4 linked regions of the Drosophila melanogaster genome follow. The protein of the gene in region 2 interacts with the protein of the main gene of each other region in a pairwise test. Each region holds a gene or a part of one and is shown on either strand. Other genes may lie near its edges. The genes, in order: CG44837, Arpc3B, Ppcs and CG11327.

The links.
Region 1: the proteins of Arpc3B (region 2) and CG44837 interact in a two-hybrid assay, tested with the Drosophila melanogaster proteins (one large-scale study listed by BioGRID).
Region 3: the proteins of Arpc3B (region 2) and Ppcs interact in a two-hybrid assay, tested with the Drosophila melanogaster proteins (one large-scale study listed by BioGRID).
Region 4: the proteins of Arpc3B (region 2) and CG11327 interact in a two-hybrid assay, tested with the Drosophila melanogaster proteins (one large-scale study listed by BioGRID).

What each region holds. Positions count from the first base shown.
Region 1 is NT_037436.4:11,935,836-11,940,730, forward strand, and holds the start of CG44837 (uncharacterized protein), read right to left. Parts: upstream 3,038-4,895; 5' UTR 2,865-3,037; intron 2,673-2,864; 5' UTR 2,506-2,672; coding exon 1,138-2,505; intron 85-1,137; exon of another isoform or gene 1-84.
Region 2 is NC_004354.4:17,104,018-17,107,712, forward strand, and holds Arpc3B (Actin-related protein 2/3 complex, subunit 3B), read right to left. Parts: upstream 1,836-3,695; 5' UTR 1,759-1,835; coding exon 1,753-1,758; exon of another isoform or gene 1,640-1,752; coding exon 1,466-1,639; intron 970-1,465; coding exon 625-969; 3' UTR 554-624; downstream 1-553. Other genes in the region: CG4991 (uncharacterized protein), read left to right, coding at 1-68.
Region 3 is NT_033777.3:19,144,871-19,149,599, forward strand, and holds the start of Ppcs (phosphopantothenoylcysteine synthetase), read right to left. Parts: upstream 3,041-4,729; 5' UTR 2,391-3,040; coding exon 2,265-2,390; intron 1,055-2,264; coding exon 611-1,054; intron 1-610. Other genes in the region: CG5835 (uncharacterized protein), read right to left, coding at 4,168-4,291, 4,365-4,729.
Region 4 is NT_033779.5:6,684,309-6,688,300, forward strand, and holds CG11327 (uncharacterized protein), read right to left. Parts: upstream 2,405-3,992; 5' UTR 2,255-2,404; intron 2,192-2,254; 5' UTR 2,187-2,191; coding exon 759-2,186; 3' UTR 534-758; downstream 1-533. Other genes in the region: Tsp (thrombospondin), read right to left, coding at 2,617-2,687, 2,756-2,889, 2,946-3,992.

The sequences.
Region 1 (4,895 bases), on a different chromosome or scaffold from region 2:
AGCACACCCAATCGCAATCGCACCTATTGTAGAACTATCTGTACGCTGTAAACAATCTCCTATAAAGTCGTAATCAAACTATGCAAATGGCTAGAATTCATTTTTTCAGGTCCTAACTATCAGGCAATCATTTCATCATACAATGGTATCATCTACATCATCATCTACATACAATGGTATTTAAAAGTTCTTTAGAGTGCATTATTAACCGAGAAAATATTTCCTAGTTGAAGACTCCTGTCATGCTTTAAGTTTCCCAGGCCGTTTGTTCCTGAGTATTGCACAATAAAAGTCTCACACCCCTTAGGGCCACATAGAGTGTGCAATTGCATCCTTGTGGTAAAACAAAAGATAAAGTCTTGAGTTTTCGAGGGGTCAGCCAACAGACTCCAACTCTATTTGAAATGGCAGCTATTAAACCTAAAATCGTCTTAACAATTACAGACAATAACGATGTGAGGGTGCGAGAAACCCAACTGTGAGCTTAATCCCGGCAAGAACAGGCATCCAGCTCATTGTCGGATTCAAAGGGGTATTCAATTTAGTTTAAAAGTTGAACCCATCCCATGCGGGCCACTCGCAGCCAGACAATGGAGCACTTGGCAATGGCAGAGTCAGTGCCCCAGGGCGATCTCCAGGCGGCAATCTGCCAGGACCAATCCAGCCGTGAACCCGGAATGTCCACAAAAGGCCTCGCTGATAATGAGTTTGGGAAATGCCTGTGTATTGGAATCTCCGCCAGAGTGCATTAAAAGCTGGATAGAAAGTGGAGGCCCTCTGAATGTGCCGCCATTCACCTGAATTGCCGGACACCCGCACTGCAGATATAGTTGCTGCAATTAAAATTACACGGCGCCATCACTTGTAAAAGGGCTGTGCACGGCGGGAATTTGACGCGGTTTTGGATTAAATGGGCAAACAGGAAACAATTAGCATTCCACTTAATTGCAAAATATCTAAAATTTCAATAACTAAAGCCATTTGCCTTCCTATACTGATGGTATAACAATAGACCGACATTAATAGACAATATAAGCTTCGAAAGTTACAATTTGTTAATCATATGTTTCTTATTCAACCGAAATTGTTTTCAGTTTTTATTTGTATTAATCTCTTTTGAACGTAGTTTTCACTCACCTGATAGTCCATTGAGTTGCCATAGCCCATGTGGTTGCAGGAGCAGGAACAGTGCTTGATATGCTGCTCCAGCTCGTCATCGATGACGGTGGTGCTGGTTGTTAGGTGTCCAAGTGCCTCGTGATGGAAGTGGGCATGCTCGAGATCCCAGTGATCCCTCTGGCGAAAGCGAATGTCCTTTCCCTGCTGCTCCAACAGCTCTACAGGATTTGCAGCTTGATGTGGCTGCGGGGATAGATGCTGTTGCGCTTCCCCGGGCCAATCGAATGAGCAGGACTTGAACACACGTCTGCCACCCGTTCCGCCCACCGCTGTGGATTGTGTTTCCCTGGCGGGACTGTTCTGTGGACTGGGGCTAATGGCATTAACTTTGCTGTTATCGCTCTCTTGGGCTGTTAAGCTGCCGACTCGCAGGAGAGCGCCGCGCTCGAAGCTTTTGGCCGCCTGGTGGAAAGCTCCGTACGCAACAGTTTCGTCCTCCTCAACATCGCTGGCATTCTGGTAGCGACGCATTGGCGGGGCGCCACCAGTTGCTCCGGCCACGTTACCGTTACCAATGGCCGCCGCCGTTGGCGTCACAGTTACCGCCGAGCTGGCCGCACTGAGCATGAGGCGGAGTATTTCATTGGTGTCCTTCGACGGCAGCGGCACACTGCAGGAGCCCGTTTCCGCCTCGGAGATTTCCTGTGTTTCCGAGTTCAGCTCATCCGAACCGTTGGGCTCCTCGACTTCGATCTGTTGGTTTTGGCGTGCACGTTGGCCCACTATCGAGGCGGCCGTGGAATTGGCTCCGTACTTCCAGTACGTTTTTCCAGTGCCAGCGATCCTCTGCAGATGACTTCCAGCCGCCTGACGTTTTCGCTCCTGCAGCTGTTGGAGATTTTTAAAGACTTTTCGCACCGGTTGCGTGTGATGCAAGGTGGCACATCTTCTCATGGGCGGCGGCGTATATACCGGGGAAACACTGTAGCTGTGCGAGTGCCGACCGGGCGAAAGTGAGCCACTCGACTTCGCGCCCACTAAGCGGGCTTTCAGTTTACGGCCAAAGCCCAGGCCACTTCCGCCTGCCGTTGCGCTTCCGGTTCGCGAGGTGAGTGAGTGGGCGGACAAGGAGAGGGCGCGACTGAATCGCAGAGCCGCTGATCTCTGCTGCTTGACGGCCATCAGCTGGCACTCGTCGATCGTCGGCAGCTTTAGCAGGTGAGGATGCAGCTGGGCATAAGTTAGTGAAGGCTTCGCACTGGGCACATCCGGTGAGGGATTCGGCAGCGGATCGAAGAGGTTTCTCTGGCTGAGGGCCAGGAACTCGCGCTGCTCCTCCTCCTCCAGCGCCTTCAAAGCACGCAGGTCCCACTCGCCAGAAGACATGGTTCCCTTTAGTCACTCATGGATTGTTAATTCTTTTTCACGAATTTTAGTTGATATTTGAGTAATGACACGCAAATCATCTTTATTTATGTTTCAGTATTAGCACTTATTCTGGTCTATTTACTTTTAATTTGCATATTTATGAAAATAAACACATTTTTGGTGGCCTAAGTATTCAAGTATTCAAGGATATAACATTATAAAGGAGGTACAACTTATATGTACATATAATATATTGAAAGCAAGTAAAATAATGTAAGCTAAGTAATAAATATAATATACAAAAAATAACGTTTCTATTATGTAAGTGAAAGTAAATGATAAGATAGTAGATATAATAATCGGATTCCAAACGCTACCTATTTTTACTCTTTCACTAACAATGTTATGTTTGTTATGCTTTTCCAATATCACGGCGTAAACTAAAACAAATAAATTATAACACGTCAATCCCGCCAATATTCCGTCACATTTTCCGTTGGATAAAACCGCTAACGCTACCCGGTTCAATTCAATTACCGTTGCCACGCGGCGCTGCCAACACACTGGGCTCTTCAGTGCTGCGGTACCGTTACTTTATAACGGCACTGCTAACAGCAGCAGCAACAGTTTCCGCAAGGAGTACCCCCCAGTGGATGGATGCTGTGGATCGTAAGTGACCTGGCCCAACAAAAAAGTATGGCAGTGGGTCGCCATGTTAACAGTATGTAATGTAAAGTCCATGTTAATGCAAAGATATTTTATTGTAATACTTATTTGAAAAAAAGTAACTATAAAATATAAAACAAATATCCATTGGAATCATGTAACAATAAAAAGAATTTAACCTCCAAAGTAGCGTTTTTTTGTTTTAATGCTATGCCTTAACAGACCTTAAAACATTTTTACCAAACAGGGCTTTTCTTATTGAACTCAATAGCATACATTCTTCTTGGTAATCAAAGTTACGCTTGCTCCTGGCCACAAAGCCAAAGTCTATTGTTTTATGATGGTGTTATCCCAACTTGGGGCAAAGAGTTGGCCCAAAGGTGATACCGCAGGTGACGGGGCGGCAATGAAATATGCAAGTGCATTCATTTGGCATCCAAAGCAATTTCGCAGTCAGCAGGACGACGACACATAGCCATTTTTGTTAACCTCATCTCAAAATGTTCACCGACCCCCAAGCCAGCACTCAGAAAAATATAGTGTGATATCTAATATTATGTTTTTAAATTCAATATAAATTATTTAAAAAATCAATGTGCGAATAGCTAGAAAACATGATATATTTTAGTTGTACAGATGAAACGGCCCACGCATTAAAATTTTTTTTGTAGTGTGACCATTTCTTGTAACTTAACATTACAATGCACGGCCACATTTCTGCACACCTGTACCTGGGTACATATGTAAGTACTTGCTCATGGCACACACATACTCTGAAGTGCTCATCCTTCATCCTGATGTATGGCCATCAAGCATCGGATGGGCTGAGTGTCGGAACACGGAGGGGAAGTAAGTATGTGCACCGCTGAATCCCCCGAATCGTGTTAATGAAATTCAAGCTGGGTCAAAAATTTGCATTAGCACATCCGGCATCCATATGCAAATCATATTTCAGATACGAGGACTCACATGATTAACAAAAAGCGGATCGATGGGACGTTCGTAAAAACAAAAATATATATGTAACTTTGTGGATATATATCCATTGCTCCATTAAGTGACTTATTTTAATCTTAGTATGCAGGCAAAGGAATAATTAATTATTATATAATTATATTAATTGCCGTTCTCTTATAATAAATTAAATTTTTTCTATGGCACAACAATTATTTGTTAATAATTACAGGAAATATCTACTAAATAGACGTTTAAATTGGTTTTATTTAAACCTTTCACGTAAATGTGAAGGCGTTGTGGTAATTAAAAATATTTAAATATTAAGAAAAAAACAGAAAAATGTGGTTTCCTATTGTCTTGTAAAGCCAACAAATAATTATTTTGAAACATTGGCTTACTGCAAATTCCCGTGGGAATTTTGCTGTCTAAACAATTTAAAAAGGATTCTTCTTTATTTAAAGCTTAATAACTTGGAAAGAGAACCAAAAGTTGGCCCGTGAAGGGCTCAACAATGTCGGAGTCAAGCCATAATTTTTCGTGAACATGTTGGCCAGCCACGCCCATGTCCTCGACGGCAAATCCCTGCCACAGAGGATGTCAGAAGTCAAGATCGAAAACAAGTGAAAGTTGCAACAAGCCATTCTGTTTGAGGTCTGCGTTTAATTTTTTTTATGGGGACACTGTAGCCAGTGAGTCGAATTCGAACAGGACCTCTTTCCTTGACCAAATAACGAACTTTGGCTGGAAGGTCGGGAACATCTGCGCCACAAGTTGCGAGCCCAACC
Region 2 (3,695 bases):
TGGCCGTGCTGGGCATCGTCACTGGCACCTACCAGAGCATCGTGGAGATCGTCAAGGAGTTTAAGTAGGCTTAGAGAGCTAGCAAGTATATTTTGTACATAAATAATGCTGTCATTCCGCGGAACTATGTGAATGCGTTGTCCTGTTCTGATGTAAGATTAATTTGTGTATTTTTCCACTCTTTTTTTTATTATTATTTTGTTGATAGTTTTAAGCTGTGCATATTTTTTTTTTGTTTGTATGTATAAAAAAAATGTTTATTTGGCACAAAAACGAAAGGAGGCATAAAGGAAAAACATGATCTGCAGCTATAACCCATTTTAATAATTGATTACCATAGCAATAGGGCTTTGATTGTGTGAGAGCCTGCAAATGATCGTTAAAGCCATATGTATGTAATAAATGCTATTCATCGATTTTATAAATATATATGTATAAAGTATTAACTAGCCTTCAGCCAACAATGTTTAACACTAAGTTCTTTTACAAAGTGAAAAATATGCGCTTTTGAGAGCGTATAAATCAATAAACATAAATCAACAACGAATTTAATACATTCAAAGCAGTTTATTCGTAAATTTTGGTGGTAAATACTCTAAGATCGGCAGTATATTAGTGAGTCTTTTACATTCCCGGTCCCGAAAGACTCTTCTCCATGAACTTCTTCTTGGCAAAGCATATCCACCACTTGCTCGGCTTTCCATCCGGAGTATCAAAGACCTTTTCCAGCAATCTGTTTCCGGTTTCCTGGCGCAACTGCAGGAAGTACTGACGCATCAGCTCCGGATCCTCGGGCTTGGTGTATATTCCGTTCAGCGGAAATCCCGCATCTCCGGGTATATCGAACCGCGAGATGGCCAGCGTATAGAGCTCCTGCTGACCCTGCGATTTGCTTGTGCATCGGGCCAATCGCTTCAAACATTCCGTGATGTAGAGCGTTATGTAGATGAGCACCCTGTCCACCTCCGACTGCGATTAGATATACAATGTATGGGTAATAGGGGTTTTTTAAAAAGTAATTTTAAAAGTTTAAACATAGCAACAATATTCTAAGAATGATATCATAATTGATAAGACTATTATTGCTATAAGCTATATAGTAATATAAGCTATATAAGCTATAAGCTATTATTGAACTTTTAAAAAAAAATTCCAAGCTCCAAAAAAATAATTTCATTATGTAGAAATACCCAACTCTTGGAACACCATATAAGAAAGGGGTATTACTAAAAATTTAACAAATAACTTCACTCTTATCAGGCTGATTGTAACGACATATTTCTACAAATAAGGGCGGTGAGATAACGCACTTGGTTTTAACATTATAAAATTGACTCCACTAGGGCTTTAAGATTGTTTCGAAATATTTAACAAGCTGTGCCGTCTTCTTAATGTATCTTCATTTTAAAAATTAGAATATCGCCTCGCTTTATCTCTATGCTCATTTCTTTGTCCAGTCACCAACCTTAACTTCGTAAGTGCGGAAGAAAATGTTCGATTTCCAGAAGTAGAGTGACTCATCGATGATGTCGTTGGGAATATCAACAGTGGGCGCTGGTCCTCGGACTTGGGTACGTAGTGGTAGAAGGGCCATATTCCCCACCGAGGCTTGGAAATCCTCTATTTCCGAGTGAAATGCCTGTGCGAACCATGTAAACAAATGGACAGGTTAAGGGTTTAATGCGTTTAATGTACATTTATGTTAAGAAACTGCCCATCTGCAGCTGCATACCTCGGTTGTATTTTACTCACCGGCATTTCAATGACTTCTGTCTTGTTTTTCAAAAGTTAAAAATAAACGAAAAATATAGTAATATATGATATATCAGAACTTCCTAGTGATGTGAAAACGTTATCTTTTTGAAGTTGAATAAACGACCCATTGGCGTTAAAATGAACTGGTTCGTTCCGAGTTTATTTGGTATTTTTTGAAAATATACATTTCTAAAGATATTATTTTAATCATTTAAGCTGACATTTTCCCACATAAATGTGCAAGTACGTCTCAGTTTTCGTCGTTTTATTTTAGTTCTGTTGCATATGAAATTGATATCAATGCAGAAATGGAGTTAACAGGACTTGGCTCTTTCGGTTAGAACTTGTTGCGCTTGCTAATTAAAAATGGGAAAGATATAGATAAAAAATAGGAAAGAAATGAACATAACAACTGTAATAAGGTCCCCAATCGAATATATATAATATATATATTAATATACAATATATATAATATAATATAATATAGCTTTTTTATTAAAAAATAATTAATTGAACGTTTCCAACTTTTCGCGCGACAATGAAAAGCTTCAACTTTGGCGGTAAGTTACAAAGGCGAAAGCAGTGTGCCCAGACACATTTGGGTTAACACTCAAACTATTTCACATGTTCCAGTTCACTTTGAAAATACAAATTACGTCTATTAAAAACATTATTCGATGGTCGACACAGTTGATTGTTTATAGATAAGAAGTTTGTAAATTGTGTATAAATATAAAATACTAGGTAAAATATAATCGATCGATAACATAATATCGATAGAACTAATTGTATAGTCTGAAGAACAAACGATGGTGTGATCGAGATCGAAGAGCTTAAATCAATTGTTTTAAAGAGAAACATCGTGAATAAAAATACTTAAAAAGATTGTTACAGACCAAGACAACAATAATAAAGCAGTAATACATTGGAATATAGTGCTATTCTTAAAAAATCAAAACCCGATATAATTGACATATTAAAATCAAAAAAAGTTTATTTTGGTGAAGACGCGACTATAGTTCAACTGCGCAACGCCGTAACTTCTTAAATAAATTAGAGTTTGCCATTAACATTACTATTCATAGTAGTATTAAAGAATCACATAGTATTCAATTATTTGGTGTTAGCCAAAAAGGCCATATAGTTGACGAATTGCCAGAATATATTGAGCACACGTTTAATTTAGAGCAAACAGACCTAGATACTGTTAGTTTAAATGCTAATGTTAATATCCATCACTCACAACATAATATTGAGCAATATAATGCGAAGAAAAATAAAGCCCTTTTGGAATATAAATTTCGAGATTTTGAAGCTCTACGAAATATTGATACAACACCTGGAGTTAATAAAAAATTCGAACCTAAATATCGCGGCCCATGTACAAATAAATATACAAGGAAAGTAGAGTGTTTGAAAGTGACCGTTAAAAATTAAATTGATGTAGATGATTATCAACTAACGCAGTTACCTTTTAAGAGTTTATTGGAACCAGCGAGATTGAAATATTGGAAAAACGGTGTAAACCTTACCATAGCATTGTAGATAGATAGTAAGATCGAGGTCGTTCATAAGCCAGGTAGGGCGAATGTAAGCTGTATGTAAATACAAAATACTAGGAACACTAATATCGATAGAACTATTAGTATGGTTTGATTGAGATCGAGATTGAGATCAAATAAAGTATATTAAATTCCTATAGCGGCACAGCAGTAGTATTTTCGCTGAACAAATTAGTATATGGTACATGGTATTATTTTATGCCTTGCGATATTTATAACTCTTACCGCGCTGGTCACACTGTCCTCTTGAGTAGTTGCTGTTGTTGCGTTGCTGAATTCCGTTCAAAAGCGATGAGAGTTTGTAAATAGTCCCTTCGTCGGCGTTTCGTGCGTTTATTTACCTTTTTCGCCGTGTTTTGTTTTGTTTTTTTTTGCGTT
Region 3 (4,729 bases), on a different chromosome or scaffold from region 2:
AATCAAATTATACGATGACAATGTTAAGGCTGCTGGCGGACAAGGCCACAAGGCCAGCGTGAGTGACACTGACAGCCTGTGATAAGGCTCCTGCTGGCCAGTGGATGGAATTGGAGGAAGCTAGAGAGGAACTGGAGGAGCAGCAGCAGCAGCCATAGTTGACTTAGCCCAGTCGAACGTCAATAATGTGGAGAGGAAATGTGTCACAGACCGGGGACTTGCACAGCGACCGGGAATCGGAAGGAGCACCAGGCACAAGGGTAGCGAAAACAACTAGAAACACACTGCCAGGAAATGGTGCTTTAAAGTGCATTATACATACATACATTCCATGCATCAGCAAAATCAGGATCAAAATGATTGACGCTTTTGCAATGTCAACTAGTAGTTGCTGCTTTGAAAATCGATACGAATTCACAATCACTATGCCATGGCCTTACTTTTAAGTACTACATCCTTAATTTGCCGCAGTGCAGCTTTGGGAATCGATAAAAACCAATTTCCACTCACTCATTCCGCACTCGTCGCAGTGAGGAGCGCAATCAATTACGAGATTTCCCACATGACCGCCCACCCGCCTCATCCGGCATCGTCCGTAGTCTCATCTTACCATCATGTCCTCGGGTATGTAGAAATCGGATACGGCTGCGGCTAGGTAGAGCACGGCTCGCTCCTCGAAGGCGGCCAGGCACTCGCAGGCGGCGCGGAGCAGCCACATGTAGTCCACCACGCTGGTGAAGTTCACGTACAGGATCATCTGCGTTTCGCGGGCTATCTTGTATTTGGCCAGCACCGGAGCAAACACGTCCACCGAATCCGGTTTGATGGCTATCGTCGAACTCTGGCTGTTGTCCGCAATGTCCAGCATGTCGAAGAACTGCTGGCCGGTGAAGTGGCGCGTGAAGGGCTCCAGCGACTTGTGGCGATGCATGAAAATCACGGCATAGTCGTGGTCGAGGAAGTATTCCGCCGAGGCGGAGCCACGCGTTCCAGCACTAAAATTGTCCACAAACCGCACCGTATTGTGCTCCAGGGGAACTGTGGTGCCACCGGACTGGAAATGTTGAACAAATTAGGGTTCTTTTAGAAAATATTTTGGTTCATTTTGGTATTTTTTCTTTGCTCCTATTTAATATTGATTATTCTGTTTCCTAATCGTTATGTTGCAATTAAAGCAACTTTTAAATTCTATTCTCTATTAAATTTTCATGTTCAAAAACTGGGGTTAAATGCTCGTGGTGGTTATACCCTTTACTCGTAGAGTTGAAAGGGCATACTAGAATCGCTGAAATCTATGTCCGTCCATTTGTCCGTATTTCTGTCCGTATGAACGCTGTGATCCTGGTAACTACCAGATCTGCAAAATTAAGTTTAGATATGCAGATTCTAACCATTTTTACTAATATCAAATATAAATTTTTGATGTTCTTCTTAGTACTGGGTGTCTGACAGCCGAGTAACTCGACTAGTTTTCTCTTGTTTTGTATCTTCTTATGTATTTTCTCCCCTTTAACATCCTTTCTTATAGGCACAATAACAGTTTTGTGCAAATCATTACAATAATTTCTTATAAAACAAATTAGAATAACCAAGTCCCTTTCATGTAAAATCCAATGACTTAGAACAAATCCAAGATATTTGGCAGCATTTAGTTATTCAAATCAGGCAGATAAATCAGCAAGTTGACCATAAATCTTATAGAGAGAAACTAATGTGCCTCGTTGTTAACTATTTGCGTAAATCATGTTCGGATTAAGCTGGCCCCAGTGAATAAACACCAGTTGACCCACATAATTTCATATTTAACTTTGAGCTTTAGGAGGCGAATCAAGTATTTGCAAGACTTGCAGATATTTGCAATATATATTATTTACGCATAGCAGCATTTTAAAGTGGAAAACTTAACTTAAAGTGAAACTTAACTAAGATTAAATTTCTAAAATGTTAAATTAAAAACTAACAAAAAAAAGGTGATTTTGGTTTTTTAAAGTATGTTAAAAAAACACTTAACAACTTTTGTTTTCTCCATTCACAAAATGCTAATTGTTTATGCATGCGCCCCTGCATGTGTTTAACATTTACGAACTTTGTTCTAGCCAATTTAAATTTATTCACTTCCACACTTTACACATTTGTTTTTAATGCCCCAGGCGCTCGGCTCAACCATGAAAGCTTTCACCAGCTTGGGCAGTTAATTAACGGAGTACAGTGGTTATTTAGCGCTAATCCTAATCCTAATTCGGATTTGGATCATCCCAGCTCACCGTGACGAGGACGATGCGATTCTGGAGCTTGTTGTGCCGTTCGCAGAACTCCTTGAGCAGGGAGCGATTGTCCTCGAAGTCCGCGGGCGGCAGGTGCGTGTTGTAGAAGTCCTCCCAGTGCGTCATGTTGGCTTATCCTTTACGCTTGTTTTTGCTTTTTCTTTGTCGACCTGCTGCTAATTGGCCGACAAACGGAAGCTCGAAAATGAACGGAAAGTTGCCCTCTTCCGCCGGAAGCTATGCACTGCCAATTAATAAATACAGAATGTGCGAAATGGCAACCAAAATTAATTAACACACGCACTGCACTATTCGGCGTACTATCTTAATTGATTGATTTGCTTTTGCTTTGCTTTGGTTTGGTTTTTTTTTGCAGTTTCCGAAATGCGAAGGGCGGAATATGCGTGGCAGGGGGGCGGGGCAGGGGCTGCGGGTGGCGCTGCTTATCAATGGAACCGTTAAGGGGAGCGCGCGCGAGCGGGAGAGCGGAACGGAGCGCTCTGAAAAACCGGAGAGAGAGAGAGCGAACGAAAATGCTGAAAAACGCAGCTGTGGAAATGCGATGCGATGTGCACGGCAGCAAGGTCCGCGGGATTCTGAACCGAAAATGCGATAGGCAGCGATGGATGGCGGAGCGGGACGAGCGGGAATGTGGACAGGCGCACTCAAATCCGTATCTTTATTCGCACGAAACCTCGGGGTTCAAAGTGCAGGCCAAAAAAAAAAAACGCGTTGGCCAGGTAACAGCTGATTGCAGTGTTGGACAGGGACGAATTGGAGGCATTGCTGACTGGTTCCGGCGCATGCAGCAAACTTGTTGCTTGTCAAGATTAAGTTTTTCATGTATCGTTCTAAGGAAGCTATACAAAGGTTTCATTTAGCTAATAAGTAAGAAAGACCACCACTTCTGCCTAGTTATCTGTCAGCCAGAAGGTGTTTTTGTTGAATATTCATATTTGTGAACTAGTTCTTAGTCTTGTGGTACCCATGAGCTATCTGAGCAAAGTTGGCTGCGCTTTAGATATTATTTCAGTGTTGTTAATTAAGAAAACGCGCCTAATTCAAATTCAAATTTGAGCTATAAATACCTGTACGAAAACAAATTATTTCAATTTTTAAAGGGAAACCTTTTTTATTTTAGGGTTAAGAAAGAATAAATGCATAACAAATAAAAGCAATGTAATTGTTAACTCCAAAAATACCTTATACTACTGCATTTTATTGGGTGTGTAACTCGTTCTTTGTGTGGCTATTTTTAATTTAATGGCTTACCTGAGTGTGTTAAGTGTAAACAAGGCTTGTGAAGATTTATATCCAATAAAACTCAAAATGAATCAAGTCAGATAACATGTTTTGGTTATTTTTAAATTGCTTATTCATTTATAATCCATTAAATAATTCCAGTATTTTGAAAACCACAGAGTCTTAAGCAGCTGTGAAAGAGGTAACTTGCAGGAATTTACCATCAACAAAATAAAGACGCCTAAGTTAAATATTCATTTACATTTACATATAGTTTTTATTATCGATTAGCAACGTGGGTTCTATGCGTATTGTTAGTGCAAGGACGTACAAAAGAATCTCTAGAACAATATCACAGAAACTTACTAACTAATTGGTCTTGTCAACTGCGCTGTTAGAAATCGGCGTGACCTTTAGCAACGCCATTAGAGTGTAATTGGGAAGCGGAATGCTTTTCAGCTTGTCGTGGAAATTTATGGCATACATTAGACGATTGAGCACCGTCTCTCCACCACCATCCTAGCTGAGGCTGCAATGAATTGCCATCGTCGTCGTCTCGTCTGAATTGTGTGGTGAGTGTGCACTTTAAACCGAAACCAGGTCCAATTGAAGCCCACCGTCGTATCGGATCGAATCGAATCGGACCAGATTTCGAAACGGACTACGCCCTAGGCGTAGCTGCCGTCGTGGTTGGCGCATAGACCTGATAATCGACGTCGTCGACACCAGCCGCTTCATCCTCCAAGTCGTGATTGACCAGTCGTTCGCGCATTCCATACCGCTGCCTGATGATGGTGAAAAGAGATGGTAAATGAGTTAGCACTCTGAAAATTAGAGCAATTAGCCAATAGAACTCACTCCAGGTGCGAGCGCCATATGACCAGGCCGGCGTACAGGCCGATGGAGACCAAGGCCAGTGCCACCACCACGATGCCGAGCAGCACGTGTCCCTGGCTAACCGCATCCGCCTGCACGTTCAGCGGGCTCATCTCGATGTTCTCGTTGGCGAAGGTTTCGGTGTCCGTGCTGAAGATCACACCGCGTCCCTTGAAACGCTCCTCCAGATCGTCCACGTCATCCATGCTACTGTCGTCTTGGTCGGCATCGCCGGATTCCAGGATCTCCACATCGTACTTGTAGTTCTGTGCCAAAACCAAATTGGTGGCCGAGTTCAGTTGGTCCTCGTCGCGGTGGGGATATGACCGCCGCTGCTGCTCCTCCGA
Region 4 (3,992 bases), on a different chromosome or scaffold from region 2:
CGCTAAAAAAACAGTTTGTTCGTTCATATGGAAACAACCGTATGCGACTGCAGTGTGACCGCACGCTAGCACGCGAAAAAATATTGCCTTTGAACAGGAGCGGTTCAGTAAAGATATTTGTATTCAATATAATAGTTATGTAAAACTAAAACTTGCAATAATCCCAAACTATTTTCCAAGTAAAAACTATTATTCCGGGAATTGCGTCAAATTAGCCTTTTCATTTATTAATTTTCTTTCCCGTCGTCTAGTACTAGTCCCGCCGACCAGTCTCTCCGTGTCCCACCGACATAGTTAGATCTGTAAGTTCGTATCATTGCTATTTTTCACGATTCCTCTATACATTCAAAAAAAAAAAAATAAATAAAAAATTCCCCATGTTTAGAATTCCGCCGTTCCTCCATCGGTAATTATTCCGGGAAAACAGTAAACGGGCAGGTGCAGTTTCCGGTTATCGATAACCGTTACCCTGCCCTAGCCAACAAGAGTATGACCTGACAAAGGCGCCACCTAGCGCTCGTTTCAAAAAGAATGTTAAGTAATTGGCGCTTTAATTCAAATATACATACAAATTATACAAATTACAAACAGTGCGGCCGTGATATTGTGGATATTTATTTGGAAAATAGATATTTAAAGCAACCCAACTATGCCAATGCGTCGGGCGATTTTGAAGTGTTTCCTAAGATATACCGTAGTGAAACGTATGCTCTCGCAAGTTCGCATTATCCAATTTGCATTTCTAGAATAGTGAACTTCTACTCCTTGCGAATTATATAGACCAAACTGAAAGCCAAGCTGCAGAACAATATGGGATAGCTAAGCTTAAGGATTCTGTGGTTGACTAGACGCCTCAAGAAACTCAAGGGCTTGCCAGTTTGTTTTAGGTCCGGATCCGTTTCCTCCTCCATATCGATTTCCGCCTCCGGGCCCGTCAGCGTCTCCCTTTCTTCCGCTTGCTCACTTTCTATCAAGTCTGGAGCTGTTTCAACTTCGCTATTCTCTTCTATTCTGGCCTGCAAAAGTTGGCGCATTAGGTGCACATTGTACTCCGGATCAAATAGTTCATCCAAAGTAACCATCTCGCGACCGTTTTGCACCGACCCATCTAGTGAGGGATGGTCGGCCAGTTCCGGGACCGAGTCAATGCACACAATCTCATCCGCCGTTGGATGAAACATGGGCTCCAATGTTTCAGGGTATTTCTCGAATTGTTCACGAACAAGCCTGTCCTCTTCGGACTCGCTACTTTCATTAATTAACGTTTCGAGTTCCTCCATATCCGATTCGGGTACAGATTTCTCGGATTCTACGTCTGTAGGATCTTGCGGGGTCTCTTGGACGATCTCTGTGTGTTCATCTATTGGCTCTTCGCCCAAATGCTGGACAATTTCGAATTCCTTTAAAGATTCTATTTCCACGGCAGTTTCCTTTATTTCTGGAAATTCCCCTTTCGGTGCAATTTCTTTTTCCACCATCTGTACATTTCCTGGTATAAGTTCTTCGGGTTGTGTTTCAGGAAGTGTTTCCTGCTGAATATCGTTTCCTGTCAGCTGTTCCATATCTAGTCCGGAAGACTCGGCACCATTCTCCACATCAGAGGCTTCATTTTGCAACTGTGTATCCACATCAGTGGCGTCATATTGCACCTGTGTATCCTGGTCAATATCATCGGGCAGTAGATTTTGCATATCTAAATTATTAAAAGCCACATCAGCCTCCATTTCGGCGACGACGCGTTGAAGTTCCTTGAGAGTCTGCTCCTCTGCCAGTCGGAGCTCCAACTCGCTGCTAGTGTCCGGAATCCTGTCGAGCATCGGCTGCAGCATTGGACTCGGTCTGGCCGACAGCGTAGTCTGCTGCTCGTCCGTGGAGCAATCCAAATTGATGCCAGAATCGTCGGCCATCTGTTGACTTTCCATGGAGGAGCGTCGCTTTCTCTCGGGCATCAGTGAACTGTAGATCCGGCTGCTGGCACTGGGTCCCAAGAAAAGTGGAGCCGGAATTTTAGTGGGCCTAACTCCCGAACTGCGAGGCCGCAGCTCACTCTCCGACGAAGATGGGACAACCGCGTCCACATCGTTTTCCATTGATTGACATTCTTCGGAGTTTTTCACATTCTTGTTGTTCTCAGTCCGCTTCAGCTCTTCCTGGGATGGAGTTGCTTGCACATTGCGGCTGGCCATCGTGGCTATTTGGACGCATAAATGAATGAGGTCAGCACAATTTGGTAGAGCACTGTGCTCCAACTTACCCTTTATAAATTTACGCAAGACTGACTGAATTTAACCTGGTTAACTAGTTCGACATCCGTGAAATATTATATCAATGTTTTCAACATGGGTTTTCCCTTATTTCGGTGATCAAAACGTTCCCTAGCGAAAGTGTGTTCGCCTAACTGTGGCAATTGAACTAAATGGATTGACAGGCAATGTCTCCTGATTTCACGTGCAGCCAGGCCAACTTGATTCAGTTCATTTTTGTGTTGGAAAACGCGGCTCCAATGGCCAACTGGATTGGCAACTCATTTATTAACTTAGTGGTAGCATTAATACATAATTTGGTTAGAATTGATGGCAGAAAAGACGTTAATGGCTCTGAGGATTGCGATTCCCCTCAGTCCTGCAACTCCACCTTCGTCTTGAGATAGTCGGACAGATCATTGTAGATCAGCGGCTTCACACGATCTGTTTTGAAAAGCATAGAAAAAAGTTTAGTTCAGTTGAAGTTACCACTTTGTTTCGATTTCCCTTACTATTGCACTTGTACTGCAGGTTGGACCATATAATCATCCTCTGTGAGAAGCAGAACACGCCCAGCCGACCGCCCTTCAGCGTGGAGTCAAACACATTGCCCGAGTCGAAGATCAGGCGGTTACCCTCGTGCATTCTGTGGGTAGAAGGAGAATGAAGACATGGGAACCCTGTCATGGTGCCATCACTCACTGCAGGCGGATGAGGCCGATGGCCGGTCGATGCACCAGGGACCAGCGGTAGGAGGTCCTTTCCTTCCACGCAATGTTCTTCGGATCCTTCCACAGCAGCCTGGCCTCACCGTCGGTGTTTCCCTCGTGCCACAGGCTGTTCCTCATCATTGGGCCCGGACCCTCGGTGCTGTTGACCAGCTTGATCTGGATGCCCGGCGCCGCAGAGGCGGTGAAGGGTCGTGGCTCCCAGTAGGTTTGGGTGCCCTTCTTCCACTGCACCACGTAGTACTTGTAGCTGCTCTGGTAGCTGAACACAAAGCCAGCGTAGTCATCGTCCGTGTCATCGTTGATATAAAAGGTGCCGTCGAAGTCAACGCCTCCGAAGGCGTCCTTGCCCACCGCTAGTCCCGGATCCGAATTGAGGGTCTGGACTATCTCGGTGCCATTGGCGTGTACCACCCAGTTGGGATCCGCTTGCGATAGGCCTTTGGGATCCAGTGGAATGGTTTGAAGAGTGCGAAAGTCAGTGTGATGAATCATCGAGTTGTTCGGGCAGTTGTCCATGCCATTCGGTACACCATCTACGTCCTCATCATCTTCGCAAGAGTCACCCTTGCCATTCCGATTGAAGTCGTCCTGCTTTGGGTTCTTGGCCAGCGGACAGTTGTCCTTGTAGTTGGGTATCCCATCTCCGTCCATGTCGTCATCGCACTCATCGCCCGTTCCATCACCGTCAGTGTCCAGCTGGTCCGAGTTACTGACCATTGGGCAGTTGTCCAGCGAGTTTGGAACTCCATCATCATCCCCGTCGATGTCTCTGTGACAGGCATCGCCTACAAAGTCCATGTCGCGATCCTTTTGGTCGGGATTCGGAAGATTCGGACAGTTATCGCAAGCGTCGCCCACACCATCGTTGTCCACGTCCGACTGACTGGGATTCGGCAGCAGCGGACAGTTGTCTAGCGCATTTGGTATGGAGTCGTTGTCGATATCACCATCGCACTCGTCTCCCAGTCCATCCTCGTCCGTGTCCAACTGCCTGGGATTGTACTTAAGCACGCAGTTG